Linked DNA regions of Anolis sagrei. The protein of the gene in region 1 interacts with the protein of each later gene in a biochemical or structural test. Links are inferred from orthologs where the notes say so. Each region holds a gene or a part of one and is shown in the gene's direction. Other genes may lie near its edges.

Region 1 (7,988 bases):
GATCCACCTGGTCATTCCATTCGTTCACCTCCTGCTCAGATGGATCCTTAGTTTGGGCAGCAGCAGCCAAAGCCTTCCTTGTTCTTCTGATCTTCCGTGACATGTCAAAGATAAAGCTTTCCTCATCCTCCGACTCAGCTGCCTCCACTGGTGTCCCTTTGCCTTCCTGGAGAGGCGGCACAGTTGCTTTTTCCTGCAGTCCATGATGTTTTCCTTGCAGAATTCTCGCCTCCACATCAGTGCAGTCGGATCCTGTGGCCTCCTCTGGAGGGACCGGGCTCAAGAGAGGAGACGGGCTCCTCTGGCGACCTGCTGTGGGGGATTCTGGTTTTCGGGTCTGGATCTCCATGAACTGGGCGGCACTGGTTTGACCTATGGAACTTGTTCTCCAGCTCCAGCTGCAAGTTGCGCATCTTCAATAAGTCAATCTGATATTGAAGTGTTCTGTTTTCTCTCTTCAAGATGGGCTTGCTGCAAATGAATGTATGATAATATTCAAACCTTTGAGTAAGTTCAGTAAATAGCACAACAACATTCTGAGCAGCTAATGCAGTTATAAGTCAGTATATTTTGAGCAGGTGTTGCACAGAATTGTGGTAGAAATATATACAAAAACTAATCATGCCAAAGGCCTTGTAGCTAGAATAAATAAGAGATTCTATGGACAGTGATTTTGCATAGATGATACTGATTTTGGAGGGAAATGGCTTGGAGATCAGTATGATTCCTTGAGTGTGGGCTTGTCATTTCCCCATGATAACTACATTTTCTCACTGGGTAGCTGGATATGTTACTGTCCCTTCAATTTTTGCATTTTTATTTTACAAAAATGGTCCTCAAGTATCTACTCAGTAATGTCAATTTTATAACATGTAAAGTTGACTTGATTGAACAAATCATTAAATTTGAAACTCCGTCATAATTTTTACACAAAGAGCTGTTTTCATTTGTCTTATACACTGAAGAGAGTCTGGGCTTGTCATTTCCCCATGATCAGTAGATTTTCTCACTGAGTCATGGCAGTTCAAGTGGTGTCGTATTTATTTATTGTGTCAGAAGCGAATTGAGTTATAATGTATAGAAGACCACAAAGTTTAAAACTTGGCATTATACTAAATTTCCTTTGACCAGAAGCTGGCCACTTCGAGTGGGTCTGGTGTCACTGTAAGAAGGTCCTCCATTGTGCATGTGGCAGGGCTCAGACTGCATTGTAATAGGTGGTCTGTGGTTTGCTCTTCTCCACACTCGCATGTCATGGACTCCACTTTGTAGACCAGTTTCTTAAGATTGGCTCTGCATCTCGTGGTGCCAGAGTGCAATCTGTTCAGCATCTTTCAAGTCGCCCAGTCTTCTGTGTGCCCAGGAGGGAGTTTGACAAGTGGTGTCAAATTACATTAAAGAGGTAATCCCACTGAACATGTCAAGTGTTTGAAAGAGTAGATTACCATACAGCTGAGAGATACTCTGTTTTGAAATTAAATGGATGATTTTCTTGCCTCCATCACACACTAGCAAACTATCTGTTTTATTCAGGAGTTCTCAGTTGATTTGCCATCACATTGTATAGAGTGGATCCCGTTCACTGTCCCCTGTTTTCTTGGTGAAAAGGAACACTTCCTCTAATGGGACTATGATTTTTATTCCTGGGTTATAAATGTAATTTCCTAATTGGTTCCACGGTGGCGCAGCAGGTTAAACTGCTAAGCTGCAGAACTTGCTGACTAGAAGATCGGTGGTTCAAATCCGCAGGACAGCATCTACGGACAACGCTGGTTCTTTGGGTTAGAAATTGAGATGAACACCCCCCCCCCCCCCAGAGTCAGACACGACTAGATTTAATGTTAGGGGAAACCTTTACATTTACCTCTATCATAAACACATGGGAAAATATGATTAAACTGCAAAAACTTAGTCTTTGCAAGGACATCCTGCTATAGCACATTTGGCTCTAGTTTCTCAATGATTGAACATCATGTAGAGTCTCCGCCAATTTAACATAGTTTTTGGAGCACAACAAAAGTAAGGACTACACAATTAAACAGGAAATAACACTTGTAACTAGGAACATATTTTCTTTAATATTATTATTCAGATGCAGGATGCCCATCTGTTAGGGGTTGTGCCGTTACGCCCAGACACTTTAAAATAAAACTTTGACGTGCTGCTATCTAGGTCTGGGCGAACTGCTGGGGTCTTTCTTTAGAAGATTGAGCTTTCTTGAATAACTGAGTCCACTTCAAGTTTGAAACATCAAACAGGGTATTTATTCACGAAGTCCTGGTAGACTTGGCTCAGCTTATCAATATTACAAAACAAACAGTCAATTGGGGTTCAATAGTTGAGGCAATCTTTTTCCAAAAAGGGTATAACTTTCTCCAAAAAGGGTATCTCTATAACTATCTAGATAATCCTCTATAACTATCTAAACAGTTCTCTTTTAATCTATCTATCTCTAACTAAATAACTCAATCAAAATTGTTTTCTATCTATGACTCTATCTATCTATCTATCTATCTATCTATCTATCGGTCTCAATTGTTTTTACAATGGTATCTTTGGAGGTACCTGTCTGCCAACAGCACATCATGGATTCTTCTTTAAGACTGAAGGGGCAGGGAGACCTCCAAAATGGATGCTTCTACACTGGAAACAGGGGCGGGCCCAAAGAGCTACTCTTTGGCCAATCATTGCAGAGAGCCTGCAAACTGGCTTTCCTGCCTCTGTCTGCTAACCTTTTAGGCCTAGCAAAGGCTGCAGCAGCCTGGGATAAACACAAGGAGAGGCTGTTTCCAGCAACTAAAAGGTAATGCAAAACTCATGCTCCTGGGAGATGGAACAGGGGTGCTTTGGGCTGGGGTTTAGCACAGCTGGTAAATCACCAGCAATGAGAAGATCTACCAACCAAAAAGTTGCCAGTTCAAATACCTGGGTCAGTGTGAGCTGCTGACTGTCAAGCCTGCTTACTGTTGACCTAAGCAGTTTGAAAACAGCTTACCGCTAAAACAAGCAGGGGAGGTATTTTACGACACCTTAAAGAAAAAAGATCAGAAAATGCTGGGCGACCAAAGGGAAGGAGGAAGTCCTGATGGCTCTTCGTCATAGAGGATGGAGTGACAGCACTCCCATGGCTAGATTTCAAGCACAACCTTCCAAGGCGTGAAAAAAATGGACTTTGATGTTGACACAACATACCTCCTTCTGTTTTGTCAGTCTCTGTATTTTCTATCCAAAACAGCATTGAATGTTTGCCGTGTATGTATACTGTGATCCGCCCTGTGTCCCCTTGGGGAGATCGGGTAGAATATGAATTAAGTGTTGTTGTTGTTGTTGTTGTTATTATTATTGATTGATTGATTGTGCTTTTGCTACATGGCAGAAAGAAGGGGGATGGCTCTTGAGGTCAACCAGAGGAGGAGGAGGGAAGAAGGTGCCTGGGTGAGTAACACATGGCACACACAACACATGGAAGCAAGCAAGCAAGGAAGGAGGAAGTCAAAGGCATGCTGGAAGAGCTAGGTTTTTAGGTCTTTCTTAAAGTCTGCCAGGGTGGGGTCTTGCCTAATCTCACTAGGTAGTGAGTTACAAAGCTGAGGGGCCACAATGGAGAAGGCCCCTCGGCTAGATAACCCTTTGCAATGCTTTTTTATCCCCAAGATATCTCTACCCTACACTTGAAGCTTACCTCATGTGATGAACACAGTAGATTGCCATTTCTTAAGTGGGTGGCTCAGTAGTTAATGAATGTAGAATCATAGAATCATAAAATCATAGAGTTGGAAGAAACCTCATGGGTCATCTAGTCCAACCCCCTGCCAAGAAGCAGGAAAATTGCATTCAAAGCACTCCTCTGACAGATGGCCATCCAGCCTCTGTTTAAAAGCTTCCAAAGAAGGACTCTCCACTACACTCTGGGGCAGAAAGTTCCACCGCTGAACAGCTCTCACAGTCAGGAAGTTCTTCCTTTTGTTCAGATAGAATCTCCTCTCTTGTAGTTTGAAGCCATTGTTCCACGTCCTAGACTCCAGACAGCAGAAAACAAGCTTGCTCCCTCCTCCCTATGACTTCCTCTCACATATTTATACATGGCTATCATGTCTCCTCTCAGCCTTCTCTTCTGAAGGCTAAACATGCTCAGCTTTTTAAGCCACTCCTCATAGGGCTTGTTCTCCAGACCCTTGATCATTTCAATCGCCCCCCCCCCCCCCCCTCTGGACACATTCCAGCTTGTCAATATCTCTCTTCAACTGTGGTCCCCAGACTTGGATACACTATTCCATTTGCCCATGCCTGATCTATAGACCCTTTGGCAAGGGACACTTCCAAAACTGTTGCAAATGTGGACCAATCCAAAGTCTGCTCTAAGCTATCCAAGGAATGCACATCACTAATATTCGTTCAACAGGAAAGACCAGGCTCTGTATCACACTAGAAAATGAATTCACTTTAAGTGGATCACAAACTTGGCAGAGAAACCGGACTTGAAATGACAACCTCGCAATGAGTGGGAAAGGGGAGGAGCTTGGGCTCGCATTCCATTCCTTTGCCTTTGCAAAACAATTGTTCCACGCCACTCGCCGTAGCGGCTGGCCTTCGCCAAGCCCCGCCCACCGGAGCGTAAGGCATAAAAGGGGCGCCGCCCAACGCTACGCAGGCGCCGCGGCAAAAGAGGAAGCAAGATGGCGTCGACGAGCCGGTCAGTGGGAGAAGCTAGAAGGGGTTTGGATGGGTTTTTCTCCCCCGGAAGCGGACCAGGGAGAGCGCGGCTGATCCGGGGGAAGGGGAGGAAGGGAGTCCGCTTGGAAAGACTTCGGCCTGACTCTTGCTTCCAGTGTCACGGTTCAGACTATAGCATTTCGGGTGTTGGGAGGTGTTTGGCCTTCTCTGTCAGGGAGCTCAGGCGCCCCCGTAAATGACAAACCCCAGAATTTTAGAGCATTGCGCCGTGGAAGTTGAAGAGGGGTCAAACTTGCTGTAATTCTGTGGTGTGGCTACACCCCTAGGCCTTTCTCCTTTAAACCCATATTTTGGATGTGTGGCAAGGCTGTTAGACGCCATTCTTGGGGCAACTTACATTAATTGCATACTATATTACTAGCCGTCCCCTGCCACGCATTGCTGTGGCCCAGTCTGTGTATGTCTGCTTTGTGTGTGTGTATGTGTGTATTTATGTGCATACGTTGTAATGTTTTTTTTTATTGTTTGGCTTTTAAAGTATTCATCTGTGTTTTTCAGTGTTTTCATGAGTGATGGTCACTCGTTGGCCAGAGAGGTGTATTGTGTCCAAATTTGGTGCCAATTCGTCCAGTGGTTTTTGAGTTATGTTAATCCCACAGCCATTACATATTTATCTATATAGATTATACTAGCCGTCCCCTGCCACACATTGCTGTGGGCCACATGGGGGTTCTGTGTGAGAGGTTTGGCCCAATCCTATCGTTGGTGGGGTTCAGAATGCTCTGTGATTGTAGGTGAACTATATATCCCGGCAACTACAACTCCCAAATGTCAAGATTCTATTTTCCCCAAACTCCACCAGTGTTCACATTTGGGCATATTGAGTATTTCTGTAGAGTTTGGTCCAGATCCATCATTGTTTGAGTCCAGAGTGCTCTCTGGATGTAGGTGAACTACAACTCCAAAACCAAAGGACACTGCCCACCAAACCCTTCCAGTATTTTCTGTTGGTCATAGGAGAACTGTGTTACAAGTTTGGTCCAATTCCATTGTTGGTGGGGTTCAGAATGCTCTTTGATTGTAGGTGAACTATAAATCCCAGCAACTACAACTCCCAAATGACAAAATCAATTTTTGAGTGAAGGACATACATTGGGTTGTTAGGTGTCTTGTGTCCAAATTTGGTGTCAGTTCGTCCAGTGGTTTTTGAGTTCTGTTAATCCCACAAACTAACATTACATTTTTATTTATATAGATAAAAGGTTATCTGACTCTCACCCCTTTCCTTTTAAAAAATGATTTTACCTTTGTGTGTGGCTTTGTTACACGTCGTGTTTAACAAGACAGTCTTTCGTAATACTGGGGGCTCTTCCATAAAGTTTCTGAGAAGGTGGGGAAGAGCCTGTAGAGGCCTCTCTGTTATGAAGGAAGTACAGTAAAAGGTGACTAATGCTTTCAGCTGATGAGAGATTTCCTGGCCTTCCAACAACAGAGTTTAAGGGAGAGAGAGAGTTCAAAACAAAACAGAAATGATCACAATGATTATTACGTTTACTGTACAGTGGATTCTCTGCTAATTGACACCCATGGAGATTGGTAGATGCTGGATAAATGTAGTTTCTGGTTACTTTAGAGCAAGCATGGGCAAACACCGGTCCTCCAGATGTTTTGGACTTCAACTCCCACAATTGTGGGAGTTGAAGTCCAAAACATCTGGAGAGCACAAGTTTGCCCATGCCTGCTTTAGAGTTATCATTATAAACAAGCCGAACGAATGCTATCCACCATACCATAAACTGATATTAAAATTAAAATACAGTAATTAGAAGGAAATAAAGACAAGTTCAATGTACTTATTTTACTGCAGCATAGAAACAGCTTTGTGAAGGCAGTATGTATTTTAATTTAATTGGCAAACAGTAAATTTTTAACTTCATGAAGGTCAGTAACATATGTTTTAAAACATTTTTGGTGTGGGATTATGGTGCCAAGTTTAAACTTACATTTCTGCTAAAATTGAATTCATTTTAGTTTTATTTATAATCTTTTTATTTCTTTGATTATTTTATTGTCAGTTTCTTGAGAGTCTAACTTTAATTTAAACACTACACAGTACTAATGTTTTAGTATCTGGGTAATGCAAGGATAGCAACTGTGACTGTTTTTTTTAGAAATGGTAACCTGGTTTCTAGGGGCTTTGGTGGTGCAGCTGGTTAAACTGCTAAGCTGCAGAACTTGCTGACCAGAAGGTTGGAGGTTTGAATCCATGGGACAAGGTGAAGTCCCATTGCAAGCCCCAGCTTCTGCCAACCCAGCAGTTCGAAAACATGCAAATGTGAGTATATCAGTAGGTGCCACTTTGGCAGGAAGGTAACAACGATCCATACAGTCATATTGACCACATGACCTTGGAGGCATCTATGGACAACGCCAGTACTTCGCTTTGAAATGAACTTGATTAGACTTGATGTCAAGGGGAAACCTTTCCCCTTAACCTGGTTTGTAGTGATCTTTGCCCAAGTCTGTGACTTCATCTGTCATCTAGCCTTCCCTTCAGTCATTCCATCTCAGAACTCACTTATTTTAGTGATTAAGGTCCCATCTATATTGCCAAATAATGCAATTTCATTATGCAATTTAACCACATTGTATGGCAATGTAGACTCAGTTCAATACAGTTAAACTGCATTATATGACAGTCTAGATGGGGACTAACACTTCAGCAAAGGCAGGAATCAACTTGCAAGTTGCATCTCACATACATTGGAACTGAAGTAGTTCACATAATGCTTTTTGTAGGACTAGCAGTGCTGCTAGACTTAGTTTCTAACATCTGTCTTGGATCCTGCTTAAAAACCTTTGTCACTATCCTGGCCTTTTTAAAAACTCTTTTGTTAATGCAGTCCAGGTTGATTTTTATAAAAAAATCAAGTCTCCAGAATTGAAGTCATTGCAAGAAAATAGAATTGCTGTATCTTCTAAATAGCCCGTGTCTGGCATTGGAGAATTAAACAGATAAGCAGAACTCACATGTGGATTGTGTTTTCTGAGGGATGAATGACGTTATAGGTACAATTTCTAAATGAAGACAATGTGATATAACTTCCTAGTCAGGTCATTTTAGTGCATTGCTAAGCACTATCAAGTATATTTAGAGGTGTGTTTTTTTAATATCTAATCTGCTTTTGTGAAAACAATGAACTCTTACATTTCATATCCATAAAAAATTGCTGCTGAGCAACATCTTTTGCTGTCTGACTTTCCTTATTATGACCACATTGCTGGTAGTTTGTGCAATTGCCCTAGATAAGTAG
Region 2 (8,496 bases), on another chromosome or scaffold:
ACTAGAGCTGTTGTGGTCTATCCAATGCAATTTTCTGAATCAGCACCCCAAATAACCAAACTGAATCTAAAGTTGACCAAAAACTGATTCATAACCCTTTTGGTACTAATATTGGAGAATGTTCATTGGTCAAAGCGGTCCCTGGTCAAGTGGTCCATGATCAGGCATGTAGCCGGGGGGGGGGGGGGCTTGGCGGCTTGAGCCCCCCCCCCCCGAAATTCTCATGGTGGTCCGCGAGAAGGCCTTACTAGTACATTATTTAAACTGTTATGTTTATTCATATCATGATCTGATCACCATGCTCAATATATCCCATATGCATGGGGGTATTGGGGTAACGATACAAAAGGTTTGCTAGAGCAGACCCTCTATCACTCAGACTCAGCCCCCCCCCAACCAAACTCAGCCCCCCCCCCCCCCCGAAACAAAATCCTGGCTACAGGCCTGTCCCTTGTCAAAAAAAGATTGGAAAGCACTGGTTTATGGTCATAGCATTAGTTATGTGCCAAAACTGGATAAGAATTGATTTCTAAGTGTCTCTTTTTAACAAAAGATTATTTGAGTGTCCTCAAATGAAAATTTAGTCAATAACCACACATTAACTAAACGTTTAGTTTGAATCTTGTGCTAAAACACAAAAATAATTATTGTCTGGGGACATTTATTTAATGTATGAAATGTGATTGTTCCGTTGCTTAGGAAACAGTTTTAAAAATGCTTCACCATGAGTGCCCTTGAAATACAAAGGAATAATGCTCATCCTTCCAGATGCCAAGGGGCACAGCTGTGTTACTAGTCCCTGGCTCATTGGGAGGAAAGTTACCAATACCTGATATTAAAGCACTAGTCTAGACATTTTGCTGCCTGCAGATGTTAGATACCAACTCCTGACGGCCCTAGCTAGCCTTCCTCATCAGATGATGGGGACCATGGTCCAAGAATACTTGGAAGACCACCCATTTGCTACGCCTAATGGATATTTTCCTGGTAGCAAACAAATATGAATAAGGATCCTTATGGATAGAAAAATATGTAAGCAAATATAAGTTCATTGTATAAGATAACCATTATCAAAATTGTTGTTGAAAAATTTATCTCCCCTCCAAAAAATAATGAATTAAACATAATTTCTATTATATATATATATATTTAAAATTAATACAAGTTCAGCAGTTGTGAAAGCCCTATGGTTCCATCTTTTGAAAGGGTTCATTTCTGCAACCAGCTGGAGCCTGGACATTCCTGGAGGGATTAAATCAGTGGTTCTCAATCTGTGAGTCCACATGTGTTTTGGCCTACAACTCCCAGAAATCCCAGCCAGTATAACAGCTAGGTTGCTGCGAGTTTTCCAGGCTATATGGCCATGTTCCAGAAGCATTCTCTCCTGACGTTTTTGTTTGTTTAATAATGTAATACAACTGTTTGGTTTGCTCCTGATACGATAAATAAATACCCTCTATAGCAAGCATCCTTTGAGGACAAAACATTAGAGCAGACTGCTTCTGGAACATGGCCATACAGCCAGAAAACTCACAGCAACCTAGTGATTGCGGCCATGAAAGACTTCGACAACACAGTTTACCAGCTGTTAGGATTTCTGGGAGTTGAAGGCCAAAACATCTGCAGACCCGCAAGTTGAGAACCACTGGATTATATCAATCATATTCTAACAAGCCCAAAAGCCCTGGGGACCCAGTGTGGTCTGGTTAGGTATTTTGCATGCTGTTTATTGTTTGATTTGGGGTTTTATGAATGGTGCTGTTAGAAATAGATATGGCTCTCTGGATGTGGGATACAAGAGGATCTTGGGATGTGGACAGAGCACAGCTGCCATCATCCTGGGCCAATCCCCACCAACATATGGTCATGATGGTAACCCTTCTCTCGGTCCCACCTCCAGTAGCTCCACTGGCTGCCAGTCTGTTACGGGGCATACTTCAAAGCACTTGACGGTTCAAGTTCAGGTTATTTGGTTGATCACATCCCTTTGTATGAACCTGCCCAGGCCCTGAGATCCCCAGGAGAGGCCTTTCTCTTACTTCCACCTCTATCTCAAGCTCAGTTGATAGAAATGAAGAGCAGGTCTTCCTTCTCAGTGGTTGTCCATCAACTCTGGAACCCCCTTCTTCCCAAGGAAGGCAGAATGGCCCTCTTCCTGCTTTTATATGTTTTTATGGATTTAATTTGAAATTTTAAAAATACTAATGATGTTTAAGGTAAAGCTAAAGGTTTTCCCCTGACATTAAGTCTGGTCGTGTCTGACTCTGGAAGTTGGTGCTCATCTCCATTTCTAAGCCAAATAGCCAGCGTTGTCCATAGCCACCTCCAAGGTCATGTGGCTAGCATGACTGCATGAAGCGTTGTTACCTTCCCACCTATTGATCTACTCACATTTGCATGCACAGCAGGAGCTCACGCCGCTCCCCGTATTTGAACCTGTGACCTTTTGATCAGCAAGTTCAGCAGCTCAGCGGCTTAACTCACTGTGCCACCTATTGATGTTTAATGCTGTTCTAATATTTGTATATTGGTATAGTTATGACAATGTCTAACGTTTGGTTCTGTTTTTATTATTATTACCAGCTTGGGGACCTGGCGGTGCCCAGGTTATTTGAGAACGGCATTGTTTGCCTGTGCTCCAAGTGTAGTTTAGGTCCAATGTTGGCTGGGTTCAGTGGTTGCAGGTGAACTACAGCTTCCATATGGAAGTTCCATTGACCATGGCCCATCCTCCTCCAAACTGCACCAGGATGCAGAATGGGTCACGGGGGCTCTGGTCTTGAACAGTTATTGGTATGTGGCACTGTGATCTGAGGAAGCGAGTGAAGGTACTGGAAGTCCCATCATCCATGGTCTGTCAGCCCAGAACCCGCACCAGGACATAGAGTGGGTCATGGAGGCTCTATGTGCCAAGTTTGCTCTTTATCAGTCATTGGTGTGGGTCTCAGTGTTCTCAGGAAGTGGGTGAAGGTACCGCAAGTCCCATCATCGATGGCCCATCATCTAACAAACCATGCCAGGAAGTAGAGTGGGTCATGGGGGCTCTATGTGCCAAGTTTGCTCTTGATCAGTCATTGGTGTGGGTAGGAATGGTCTCAAGAAGTGAATGAAGATACTGTAGTTCCCATCTTGTAAACTGTAACCTGCCCTGATCCCTCACTGAGAGACAGGGCGAGACAGAAATAAAGTTTTATAAATATTTTCAATTGTATGCTGATGTTTTTATGTTAACTGCTTTGCATCTCCTGCGGCAGAGATAAGGTGATGTATAAATAATAATTAATGGGTCTGTGTGTACCACATGTGGTTGAGATCCATCATTGGTGGGTTTCACAGTGGTCTCTGGATGTGGGTGGAGTGCAACCCCCATCAGGAAAAGGTAAAGGTTTCCTCTTGACATTAAGTCTAGTCATGTCTGACTCTGGGGGTGTGGGGCTCATCAAGAGCCAGCATTGTCCATAGGCACCTCCTAGATCATGTGGCCGGCATGACTACATGGAGCGCCTTTACCTTCTTGCCCAGGTGGTACCTATTTATCTATGCACATTTGTATGTTTTTGAACTGCTAGGTTGGCAGAAGCTGGGGCTAACAATGGGAGCTCACCCTGCTTCCCAGATTTGAACCACCAATCTTTCATAGAATCATAGAATCAAAGAGTTGGAAGAGACCTCATGGGCCATCCAGTCCAATCCCATTCTGCCAAGAAGCAGGAATATTGCATTCAAATCACCCCTGACAGATGGCCATCCAGCCTCTGTTTAAAAGCTTCCAAAGAAGGAGCCTCCACCACACTCCGGGGCAGAGAGTTCCACTGCTGAACGGCTCTCACAGTCAGGAAGTTCTTCCTCATGTTCAGATGGAATCTCCTTTCTTGTAGTTTGAAGCCATTGTTCTGCGGCCTAGTCTCCAAGGAAGCAGAAAACAAGCTTGCTCCCTCCTCCCTGTGGCTTCCTCTCACATATTTATACATGGCTATCATGTTTCCTCTCAGCCTTGTCTTCTTCAGGCTAAACATGCCCAGCTCGTTAAGCCGCTCCTCATAGGGCTTGTTCTCCAGACCTTTTATCATTTTAGTCACTCTCCTCTGGACACATTCCAGCTTGTCAATATCTCTCTTGAATTGTGGTACCCAGAACTGGACACAATATTCCAGGTGTGGTCTAACCAAAACAGAATAGAGGGGTAGCATTACTTCCCTGGATCTAGACACTATGCTCCTATTGATGCAGGCCAAAATCCCATTGGCTTTTTTTGCTGCTACATCACATTGTTGGCTCATGTTTAACTTGTTGTCCACGAGGACTCCAAGATCTTTTTCACACGTACTGCTCTCGAGCCAGGCGTCACCCATTCTGTATCTTTGCATTTCGTCTTAGCCTCTAATATCCTTTTGGTCAGCAAGTTCAACAGTTCAGCGGTTTAACCCGCTGTGCCACGGGCAGAACCCCCATTACTTCCCTCCCAAAAACCTCACTATTTTAAGATAGGTGTGATGGGTCTGTGTGTCAAATTTGGTCCAGATCCCTCATTGCTGGTCATGCGACTCTCTGGGTGAGGGAGCCATCCTGAAAATTTTTGTTGTTGTTCATTCGTTCAGTCGCTTATGACTCTTCGTGACCTCATGGACCAGCCCACGCCAGAGCTCCCTGTCGGCCGTCACCACCCCCAGCTCCTTCAAGGTCAAGCCAGTCACTTCAAGGATGCCATCCATCCATCTTGCCCATCATCCAACTTCCTTTTTCCTTCCATTTCCCCCAAGCATTGTTGTCTTCTCTAAGCTTTCCTGTCTTCTCATGATGTGGCCAAAATACTTCATCTTGGCCTCTAATATCCTTCCCTCCTGAAAAATACACGCATACATATTTTGACTTCTATTTATGCAGCTATGCAATCACAGGTGCCTCCATCAGTCCTGCCCTGGCCTTTCTTCTCCCTGGCCTCCCCGTAGGCGGGGCCTCTCGAACAAGCCACGCCCACCGAGGAGGTGTGAGCGCGCAGCCAGAGACGCGTTTGGGACGGAGGCGGAGGTTTGGACGCTGTCGGCCCCCGTAAGCCGCGAGTGTGCTGTCGATTCCTGCTCGGGTAGCTGCCGTTGTGGAGAGCAAGAGGGCCGCCATGAGCGAGAAGGGGGAGCTGGACCTGACCGGGGCCAAGCAGAACACGGGCATGTGGCTCGTCAAGGTGAGCGGGAGGGAGGAAGGGAGGGAGGGAGAGAAGAGGCCTCCTCTTTCCGGGAAATGGCGGACAAAAGTTGCCAAACAGGGCGCAGTGTGGAGAAAGTGGCCTCCAAGGCTGCCCACCCCCTCCCCGCCCCTCACTCGTTGTATGAATGCATGGCGGTGCCTGAGGGAGAGAGAGAGAGAGGGTGAGTGAGGTGGTGACAGCCAAGACTTCAGGGGGCTCAGTCCCAGTCATGAAGCAGGAATGATCTGCAATGGAGCCCTTGAGTGCTTAGAGAAGGAGGACACCAAGAAGTGCGCTCTTGGAAGGCCAGACTGTCAAGGGAGAGGGGCTGCATTGTTCCTCTTCCTCCCTTGTACCCAGGGCCACATCAGCCTCGTGGTTGCCTTCAAGGGGCCCTTAAGTCTGTGGAGACAGAGGGCCAACTATATTTTTTTAACATAGTGAGCTTTATCACTGGGTTGTTGTAGGGTTTTTGGGCTATATGGCCATTTGATAGAAGCATTCTCTCCTGACGTTTCGCCTGCATCTATAGACAGCATCCTCAGAGGTTGTGAGGCCATAGGTCAGTGGTTCTCAACCTTCCTGATGCCGCAACCCCTTAATACAGTACCTCATGTTGTGGTGACCCCCAACAATGAAATCATTTTCGTTGCTAATTCATAACTGGAATTTTGTTACTGTTATGAATGGTTTTAGTTGCTGGGATTTATAGTTCACTTCCAATCAAAGAGCATTCTGAACTCCACCAACAATGGAATCGAACCAAACTTGGCACCCAGAACTCCCATGACCAACAGAAAATACTGGAAAGGGTTGGTAGGCATTGGCATTGAGTTTGGGAGTTGTAGTTCACCTACATCCAGAGAGCACTGCGGACTCAAACAGTGACAGATCTGGACCAAACTTGGCACGAATACTCAATATGCCCAATATGTGAACACTGGTAGAGTTTGGGGGAAATAGATCTTGATATTTGGGAGTTGTAATTGCAGAGATTTATAGTTCACTTACCATCAAGGAGCACTCTGAACCCACCCCACAATTTATCTGCTCCAAACTTGGCACACTACCTACATGGCCAATATTGAATACTGGTGGGGTTGGGGCAAGCTGTTTTTGAATTCTGGGAGTTGTAGTTCACCAACACCAAAAAAGGAAAAGAAGGATAGGCAGACATATGTTCAGCCTTTTCTCCAAGAGGGTTACTAAGACCATCAGAAATATGTTTTCAGATGGACTTTGGTGACCCCCCCTCTCTGAAACCGTCTCGTGACCCCCCCAAGAGTTCCAACCCCCACGTTGAGAAGCACTGCCATAGATGCAGGTGAAACGTCAGGAGAGAATGCTTCTAGAACATAGCCATATGGCCCGAAAAACCTACAACAACCTATAGTGAGCTTGAGTTTGTTGCCCAGTTCAGGTCCCCAGATGTCATTAAACGACAGCTCTCACCACTTTGAATTATCCACCATGTGAACTGGGGATGATGGGAATTGAACCCAACAGCACTTGCAGCTCTGGGGATAGGGAAACGTGAAAAGACATTTTAAAGCCAGGCATCCTGTTCACAAGCCGTGTATCTCAATTCAAGCCCCACTCTCCTGACCTATCCTAAAGTCACTCCACTTTTTGCCAATTAATTTCCCAGCAAAGTACAAGGTGGTGGTTTTGATCTTTAAAACCCCACATAGTTTGGGTCCACGTCACCTAAAGGATCACCTTCTCCTGTACAATCCATCTTGTACACTTTGGCTTTGACTACTGCAACACGCTGGGGTTGCCTATGAAGACTGTTCGGAAGCTTCAATTGGTCCAACAGGTGGCAGCCAGATTACTCACTGGAGCGGGGTACAGGGAACATACAACCCCCCTGCTGCGTCAGCTCCACTGGCTGCCAGTTTCCTACCAAGCACAGTACAAAGTGCTAGCTTTAGCCTATAAGAAGCAACAAGATCCTGAGCTGCGCTAATGGGGATTCTCAATCTGAGGAAATCTAAGGTGATCCTCCCCCCCAATCCCCCCCTCTGACCCAGCCAGGGAGCCCGGGGCAATCAGGGGTTCCGAAAGAGGCCCGAAAAAGGTCCGGGGGTCAGATTAACCCTAAAGAAGAGAACGGAGGAGGAGGAGGAGGAGGAGCGAGGTAGAGCGCTGCCATTACAATGCAGCCGCCTCCCTCAAGCCTTTAAGATCTAACCGTGGCGGTTCCTCGCGACACCATCACCGCTGCTGCCACCACCTATCACCTTACTACAGCCCGTTGCGGAGTCACCTCCAGGCTATTGAGGGTAGACTGCAGCGGGCCCGCCATCCCAGGCACGGCCCGGGAGTGGCCTATCATCCCAGGCACGGCCGACGTCGCCGCCGACGCCGCCAGCGGTATTAACACCCAGCGCTCCTTCGGGCCTGCTAGGCCCCGCAGCCACGAGCCCCTCCCTCCCGCCGGTCCGGGGGAGGGAGAGAAGGAAGAAGGCCCTCGAGCACTCCGTCGGGCCCATTAGGCCCCGCCGCCGCGAGCCCCTCCCTCCCGCCGGTCCAGGGGAGGGGAGAAGGAAGAAGACTCTCCAGCGCTCCTTCGGGCCTGCTAGGCCCCACCGCCGCGCACTCCTCCCTCCCCGCTGAGAACGCGCTGCTCGGATCCCTCCGTGCTTCCATCTGGTGGTGGCCGGAGTGCAGGAGCTGTGTTGGCTCGGCGCTGCCATTGTATTGCATCGGCTCGGCCCCCATCACCAATAGCAGCGGCCCTCTGCTGGCTGAGTTGTGCCACCAACAGTGGAATTCCATCATTGACTGCTTCCTTGCCATCCGGATCTCATCGTCAACGCGGGACATTTTCCATCGCGCCACTAGCGTCCGGAATAAACATCGCCACTCCTCCATTAGTGGGGGCCCAAGCAACAACCGGAAGGCCTAGAAGCTCAGTGTTCTGCTGCTGCCATCCAGAACTCATAGCAACAGAAATCCTGTTACCTCCTGCAACATCGCCCCCTTTGGCTGGAGGTGCAATTGATATCACTCCACACAGCTGCTAGAAACTGTCTCCTTGGAGTCACTGCCTGCAATATATAAGACCAACCCCCATTAAGCTTCATCAGCTTTCCACTGGGACAGTCAAGAAGAACTAGGGGCCAGGCCAAGGGGTGCCGGCTTGCTGTCCACGGGCCCTAGAAGCTGGGCCCTATGGTTCTAACTGCCCATCCTAGTTGAATGACATCGGGTTTCTTCTGTGGGCACTGACTTTGAGTTATTGAACTATTGAGCACTTTAGTCCATCACTGAGACTCTATGGTACTATTAGAATCTGAGCCATAGAA
Region 3 (7,863 bases), on another chromosome or scaffold:
TGTATACTGTAAATGTAAAATAAGAGATTTAAATTGAATGTGCATTATTTTTATTAAAGCACTTGTAAGTGAAAATGAGGAGGAAGGAGTGCAATAGTGCAGGTATCCCTGGAAGAGCCAGATTGTGATGGTGGCACGTGATCCCTGCTGAGGGGAACAGATGAAGCGGTTTGCATGTCTAATGGGGTGACTTCAGAAGTGTGCTATCCCCTAAGAGCAAAAATCTGTGATGTAACAAAGAGACTGATAGGTTTCCTTCTTTTTGGTCAACTTGGGAACCGATAACTCGGCAAGACATAGTCTTCAGGATAGTAAAGGAAGTTGAAGGGCTTTGATGCAGTTTGTAATTTTGTTTATTCTCTCAGATGAAACAATTGTATATAAACAACTGTATATAATTACACTACATAACATGAGTTTTGTTCCTAATTGACTCCATCATAAAACCATAGGAAATGATTATTAATATAGATTTGTTTTTATGGGACATCCTGCAGCAGATTTTGCTATAGTCTTTCCATGAATATCTCAGAGTCTCAACTAATTCAACATAGTTTGCAGCAGCCACATAAAGTTTCTGGAGTATAACAACTAGTTTCAAAGTAAGCACCACACAATGAAACAGGAAATAACACTTTCAAACAAGGAACAGATTTTTTTTTCAAATTTTGTTATATTGATAGTATTATCAATCAAAGGCAATATGTGGGATACTGTATATGTGCTGTTTTATACCTGCACACTGATTCCCACAAAAATCGGTTTTGTAATAAGGATAGTATTTCTTGAAGGTTTACTTTTTATTTGAGAAAGAAGAGTTGTTGTTTTGAAAAGTGACCCTGATGAGAAAAAATCCCACTAGGGTAGATTTTGTAAAGGTTTATAGAAATCTGGGTAAGTTTTTATGAGGCTCAGTACTAAGTTTACCGTAGATGTATGTGTGTGAAGAAAGGAAGAATCCATATGTAGGTGCACTGCATGTGTCATTAAAAGCAAATGTTTCTTTGCTACAATCAGTAGAGTGTAACAGGGAAGTTTACAGTATACCCTTTGGAGTTCTTTGCAAAACCTTGCTGTAGAAGCCAAGATCTCAGCATTTTGTATATTGCAATACAATATTGCATATTGTATGTATCATGCACTTTGAAAAACCATTTGTTTTGCATATCATAGAATCATAGAGTTGGAAGAGACCACATGCAGGGGCGGCTCAACCCATTATGCAAAGTAAGCATTCGTAGTATAGTTGATTTTGCCCAAGGGCGCTCTTGAGGGGCTCTTGGGGGAAAATAGACCTTGACATATGCGAGGTGTTGTTACTGGGATGTATAGTTCACCTACAATCAAAGAGCATTCTGAACTCCACCAATGATGGAATTGAACCAAATATTGCACACAGAACTCCCACGAACAAAAAATATATATCAGTGATTGGTTGAGGGGGGGGGGGCAAAATACTGTTTGCTTATCATTGAAAATTACCTAGGGCCATCTCTGACCTCATGGGCCATCCAGTCCAACCCCCTGCCAAGAAGCAGGAGTTTGAAATAAATAAACAAAGGAAAGAAAGGAAGGGGCCTGAGGCTGTAAGGAATGGTGGAAGATGAAATCCAAAACACCCAGAGAGCCCAAGTTTGCTCATGTCTGCTTTATTGGCACACAACAACAAAATCAGCCTCCTAATGTTGTATGCACAGCATCCTAATGTTGTATTTCCTCATGTTGTATGCCCAACCTGAGAAAATCACAGATAAAAGAAACATCCTGAAAAGTGACTCATCTCAAGGATAACATTTGCAGTAGTCTCACAAAAGAGTGCATCAGAGTTGTTCAGAAGATAGAGAATTCAGTAATGCAAATCAAAATACAGCTTAATCCATCTTAGCTTAATCCGTTCTGCTGGACCTCTCAGCGGCCTTCGATACCGTCGACCACGGTATCCTTCTGAGTCACCTCGCGGGAATGGGCCTTGGTGGCACTGCTCTGCAGTGGCTCAGGTTCTTCCTAGAGGATCGTACTCAGAAGGTGTTGCTGGGGGACAACTGCTCTACCCCACAACCATTGACTTGTGGGGTTCCGCAGGGCTCTATATTGTCCCCCATGTTATTTAACATCTACATGAAGCCGTTGGGAGAGATCATCCGGAGTTTCGGAGTGCGGTGTTATCTGTACGCAGATGACGTCCAACTCTGTCACTCCTTCCCACCTACTACTAAGGAGGCTGTTCAGGTCCTGAACCGTTGCTTGGCCGCTGTATCGGACTGGATGAGGGCGAACAAATTGAAATTGAATCCAGATAAGACAGAGGCACTCCTGGTCAGTCGGAGGGCCGAACAGGGTATAGGGTTACAGCCTGTGTTGGACGGGGTTACACTCCCCCTGAAGATGCAGGTTCGCAGCTTGGGTGTGATCCTGGACTCCTCGCTAAGCTTGGAACCCCAGGTCTCGGCGGTGTCCAGGGGAGCATTTGCACAACTCAAACTTGTGCGCCAGCTGCGCCTGTACCTTGGGAAGTCGGACTTGGCCACGGTGGTCCACGCTCTGGTCACATCCCGGATTGATTACTGCAACGCGCTCTACGTGGGGTTGCCCTTGAAGACGGCCCGGAAGCTTCAGATGGTCCAGCGCTCGGCAGCCAGGTTGCTAACAGGAGCGGCACTCAGGGAGCACACCACTCCTCTGCTGAGCCAGCTCCACTGGCTGCCAATCCGCTACCGGGCTCAATTCAAGGTGCTGGCCTTGGCCTATAAAGCCCTAAACGGTTCTGGCCCCGCTTACCTCTCCGAACGCATTTCCGCCTACGAACCGACTAGAATATTAAGATCGTCTGGGGAGGCCCTGCTCTCGATCCCGCCTGCGTCACAGGTGCGCTTGGCGGGGACGAGAGACAGGGCCTTCTCAGTGGTGGCCCCTCGGCTATGGAATGCCTTACCAGCAGACATCAGACAGGCACCTTCGTTGCTGGCGTTTCGGAGAATGGTCAAGACCTGGCTTTACGAACAAGCGTTTGGCTAGGCAATGCAACTAACTAAGGAAGACGGTAACTGAACATAGGAACGGCACAATGACTATGAGAATGGATCTGACTTTAACGAAGGCGCTATATATGTTGTTTGTTGATTTGTCTGTCTGATGTTAATTGTGGAGCGACGTTGTCATCCCGGTTGTTTTATTGCTGTGTTTTTAATTGCACTGTAAACCGCATAGAGTCGCCTGTCAAGGGCTGAAATATGCGGTATAAAAGTGAAGCAAATAAATAAATAAATAAATAGTAAACTTTTCCTCCATTTTAGCAGGAAGAAATGAAATGCAAAGATACAGAATGGGGGACAATGCCTGGCTTGAGAGCAGTACGTGTGAAAAAGATCTTGGAGTCCTCGTGGACAACAAGTTAAACATGAGCCAACAATGTGATGTGGCGGCAAAAAAAGCCAATGGGATTTTGGTCTGCATCAATAGGAACATAGTGTCTAGATCTAGGGAAGTAATGCTACCCCTCTATTCTGCTTTGGTTAGACCACATCTGGAATATTGTGTCCAATTCTGGGCACCACAATTCAAGAGAGATATTGACAAGCTGGAATGTGTCCAGAGGAGGGCGACTAAAACGATCAAGGGTCTGGAGAACAAGCCCTATGAGGTGCGGCTTAAGGAGCTGGACATGTTTAGCTTGAAGAAGAGAAGGCTGAGAGGAGATATGATAGCCATGTATAAATATGTGAGAGGAAGCCACAGGGAGGAGGGAGCAAGCTTGTTTTCTGCTTCCCTGGAGACTAGGACACGAAACAATGGCTTCAAACTACAATAGAGGAGATTCCATCTGAACATGAGGAAGAACTTCCTGACTGTGAGAGCCGTTTAGCAGTGGAACTCTCTGCCCCGGAGTGTGGTGGAGGCTCCTTCTTTGGAAGCTTTTAAACAGATGCTGGATGTCCATCTGTCAGGGGTGATTTGAATGCAACATTCCTGCTTCTTGGCAGGGGGTTGGACTGGATGGCCCCTGAGGTCTTTTCCAACTCTAGGATTCTATGAAGTCCAAAACACCCGGAGAGCCCAAGTTTGCCCATGCCTGTAATACTAGTACCATTTAAAAACCAAGTGATTAAAACCCTTACAAGCATTATGGAACACAGTTTGCAACATAGGAAACGCTTGCGGCCTGGAAGCGTCATGGCGAGTGTGATTCCTTCCCTTTCCCTTCCACTCACCGGAGTCGCCCAGCACCAGCACTTTCACCCGCTCCAGGGCCGCCATCCCTCCTCGCCGACCAAGAGCCACTTCCTATTCCGCCCACTGGCCAGTCGCTTCCTTCCTATTGGCCGAGGAAGGAGCGGGGAGGCGCGAGGAACGCCAGGCGTCGCTTAGTAGTGACGTCAAGCGGAATCGTGTTTGGAGGCAGAGTCGTGACGCACGCCCGCGCGCGCTGAGGGTCTCGCGGCGAAGGAGCTTGGCTTTTGGGTCCCTCACAGGTCAGTCCGAGGGCTGTACCGGCTCCAACCCTTGCCTGCCCCGAGGGCCTCTTTCTTGAGGGAGTAGCTTGGTGGGCTTGTGTTGCTATTCTGTGCTCTTCAAGGGAAAACACTCGGATGGCGGCGGGCCAGAATACATCTGCCTCAGGAAGAAAAGCAGCAGGGAGAGTGTGGTCACCTGTGGCAAGAAGCTTGCACGCGTGTTGGGTATAACTATGCCATTATCCGGACGGAGGCTAAAAGGGGAGCTGGACAGAGAAGGGGAGGGGGTGTTATTTAGAACTTTTATATACCGGTCTTCTCACCTCCAACGAGGGACTCAGGCCTGTTTACAACAAGGGAGTTCATGCACAATAGTTTAAAAACATCACATCAATAATACACTAATATAAACACATTAAAGCACTATCATCATATATAAAGCAAGTCGTTAGTATAAAAATCACTATGCGTCCCCATCTGTCCGTGTGGTCAAAAGTCATTGCCTCATTCATCAAATGCCAGATTCCAAAGCCAGGTTTTCACCAACTTTCTAAAGGTCAGGAGGGAAGGGGCAGTTCTAATTTCCAATGGGAAAGAGTTCCAGGGCCAAGGGGCCACCACCAAAAAGGCGTCCCCACCAAACGCGATTGCGAGGATGGTGGGACCGAGAGCAGGGCCCCTCCAGAAGATCTTAACAACCTTGAAGGTTCATAGCTTCCGAGCACAATTCAAAGTGCTGGTTTTGACCTACAAAATCCTTTACGGCTCCGGCCCAGCATACTTGTCCGAACGTATCTCCTTCCACATCCCACCTCGGAAGTTTAAGATCTTCTGGGGAGGCCCTGTTCTCGGCCCCACCTTTATCACAAGTGAGACTGGTGGGGACGAGGGACAGGGCTTTCTCGGTGATGGTCCCTCACCTGTGGAATGCACTCCCCGGGGAAATTAGGTCATCAACATCCCTCCTCTCCTTCAGGAGGAAGTTAAAAACCTGGATTTGGGACCAGGCCTTTGGGTAAGCTGGCAGATGGATAAAAGACAATGATGACCAGAGTAGAAAAGGACAATGACAATGCTGGATGGATTATGAATGTATGAATTGGCGAACGTTGACCACAAGATGATTTTATTGCTGCTATTGTATTAATTTGATTGTTTTAACTAGTTATAACGTCGTTATATTGTATTTTGTATATTGTACTTTGTGAATTGTTGAGCATCGAATTGTACCTATTTTTGTAAGCCGCCCTGAGTTGAGAAGGGCAGGGTAGAAGCACTCCAAATAAATAAATATGGGAGAATCCGTTCCGATAGGGAAACTGGGCCGGAGTTGTTTAGGCATTTGTAGGTCAACACCAGCACTTTGAATTGTGCTCGGAAGCTAATTGGCAGCCAGTGGAGCTGGCGCAACAGAGGAGTAATATGCTTCCTGTACCCCGCTCCTGTTAGTAATCTGGCTGCCGCTCGTTGGACTGATTGCAGCTTCCGAGCAGTCTTCAGAGGCAACCCCATGTAGAGAGCATTGCAGTAGTCTATACGGGATCTAACCAGAGCGTGGACCACCGTGGCAAAGTCAGACTTCCCAAGGTACGGGCGCAGCTGGCGCACAAGTTTTAATTATGCAAAAGCTCCCCTGGGGTTCCAGGCTCAGCGATGAGTCCAGGATCACTCCTGAGCTGCGAACCTGCGTCTTCAGGGGAAGTGTAACCCCGTCGATCACAGGCTGTAACCCTATGCCCTGTTCGGCCTTTCGACTGACCAGGAGTACCTCCGTCTTGTCTGGATTTAATTTCAATCTGTTCGCCCTCATCCTGTCCGCTACAGCGGCCAAGCACCGGTTCAGGACTTGAACAGCCTCCTTAGTAGCAGGTGGGAAGGAGTAACAGAGTTGGACATCATCTGCGTACAGAAGACACCGAACCCCAAAACTCCGGATGATCTCTCCCAACGGCTTCATGTATATGTTAAATAACATAGGGGACACTACTGAACCCTTCAGGACTCCACATTACAATGGCCGTGGGGTCGAGCAGGAGTCCCCTAGTAACACCTTCTGGGAACAACCCTCGAGGAAGGACTGGAGCCACTGCAAAGCAGTACCCCCAAGGCCCATTCCCGCGGGCGTCCCAGAAGGATACCGTGGTTGACAGTATCGAAGGCCGATGAGAGGTCCAGCAGAACCAACAGGGACACACTCCCCCTGTCTAGTTCCCGGCAAAGATCATCCACTAAGGCGACCAAGGCTGTCTCAGTACCATGTCCCGGCCTAAAGCCAGACTGCTCTGGTAGGCTGTTAGGAATTGTGGGAGTTGAAGTCCAAAACACCTGGAGGGTCCAAGTTTGCTCATGCCTGAGTTAAACCATTTCCCCTCTGTGTTCCTGTTATTCCTCTCACCCATGCCCCTTCTACATTACCATATAAAATCCAGATTATCTGCTTTGAAGTGAATATTCCTGCTTCTTGGCAGGGGGTTGGACTGGGTGGCCCATAAGGTCTCTTCCAACTCTAGGATTCTATGATTATAAGGGCTCTTCCACACTGCCCCTTTATCCCAGAATCTGATCCCAGTTTATCTGGCATTGGGGACACATACATTCCAGTTTAAAGCAGATAATCTGGGATCAGATCCTGGGATGAAGGGCAGTGTGGAAGGGCCCTAAAATGTTCAAAGGTCTGGAGACCATGCCCTATGAAGAGCATCGTAAAGAGCTGGGGATGTTTAGCCTGCAGAAGAGAAGGTTGAGAGGAGACATCATAGCCATGGATAAATATGTGAAAGGATATCATAAGGAATAGGGAGCAGACATGCCCTGGAGTTGGGCACTCACTGGAACAATGGGTTCAAATTCCAGGAAAGGAGGTTCCATGTGAATATTAGGAAGAATTTCCTGAATGTAAGTGCTATTTAGCAGTGGAACTCTGCCTCTTTTTTGGAGGCTTTTAAACAAAGGCTGAATGGCCATCTGTCGAAGGTACTTTGATTGTGCTTTTCCAGCATGGCCCAATTCTGTAATGGAGTCTTCCTCTTTTCCTACTGCCTTTTACCTTACTAAGCATTATTTTCTTTTCCAGTTAGCCATGTCTTCTCATGGCCCTTAGTCATCTTGGCTTTTATAGGGAGTTCAAATTTGATTTGTTCTAGAACCAGTTTGTCTTTTCAACAGTCCGCAGTATTTGTAGAACTCTGCCCATTTCAAATGAATTGACTTTCTTCCTGTCAACTATCTTCACAATCATACATGGACACGAGAAGTACAATGACATGGAATACTTTATCTTTAGTGTTCAGTGATATATCTTAACAATTCAAGTTATTGTTTTATTTATTATTTATTTAGAGCTTTTATAACCCAGTCTTCTCGACCTCCGAAGAGGGACTCATGCCGGCTAGTTCTGAATTGTGGTCTAGTT

The links. The genes of interacting proteins can lie anywhere in the genome.
Region 2: the proteins of GTF2B (region 1) and GTF2F2 form a complex in vitro, tested with the Homo sapiens proteins (2 studies listed by BioGRID and IntAct). The link is inferred for Anolis sagrei from reciprocal best matches to the Homo sapiens genes GTF2B and GTF2F2.
Region 3: the proteins of GTF2B (region 1) and GTF2E1 form a complex in vitro, tested with the Homo sapiens proteins (2 studies listed by BioGRID). The link is inferred for Anolis sagrei from reciprocal best matches to the Homo sapiens genes GTF2B and GTF2E1.

Annotation. Positions count from the first base shown.
Region 1 is NC_090024.1:151,969,379-151,977,366, forward strand, and holds the start of GTF2B (transcription initiation factor IIB), read left to right. Parts: upstream 1-4,604; 5' UTR 4,605-4,676; coding exon 4,677-4,693; intron 4,694-7,988. UniProt on the Homo sapiens protein: General transcription factor that plays a role in transcription initiation by RNA polymerase II (Pol II). Involved in the pre-initiation complex (PIC) formation and Pol II recruitment at promoter DNA.
Region 2 is NC_090023.1:144,294,165-144,302,660, reverse strand, and holds the start of GTF2F2 (general transcription factor IIF subunit 2), read left to right. Parts: upstream 1-4,991; 5' UTR 4,992-5,116; coding exon 5,117-5,182; intron 5,183-8,496. UniProt on the Homo sapiens protein: TFIIF is a general transcription initiation factor that binds to RNA polymerase II and helps to recruit it to the initiation complex in collaboration with TFIIB.
Region 3 is NC_090022.1:165,541,471-165,549,333, forward strand, and holds the start of GTF2E1 (general transcription factor IIE subunit 1), read left to right. Parts: upstream 1-4,358; 5' UTR 4,359-4,469; intron 4,470-7,785; exon of another isoform or gene 7,786-7,863. Other genes in the region: RABL3 (rab-like protein 3), read right to left, coding at 4,209-4,254.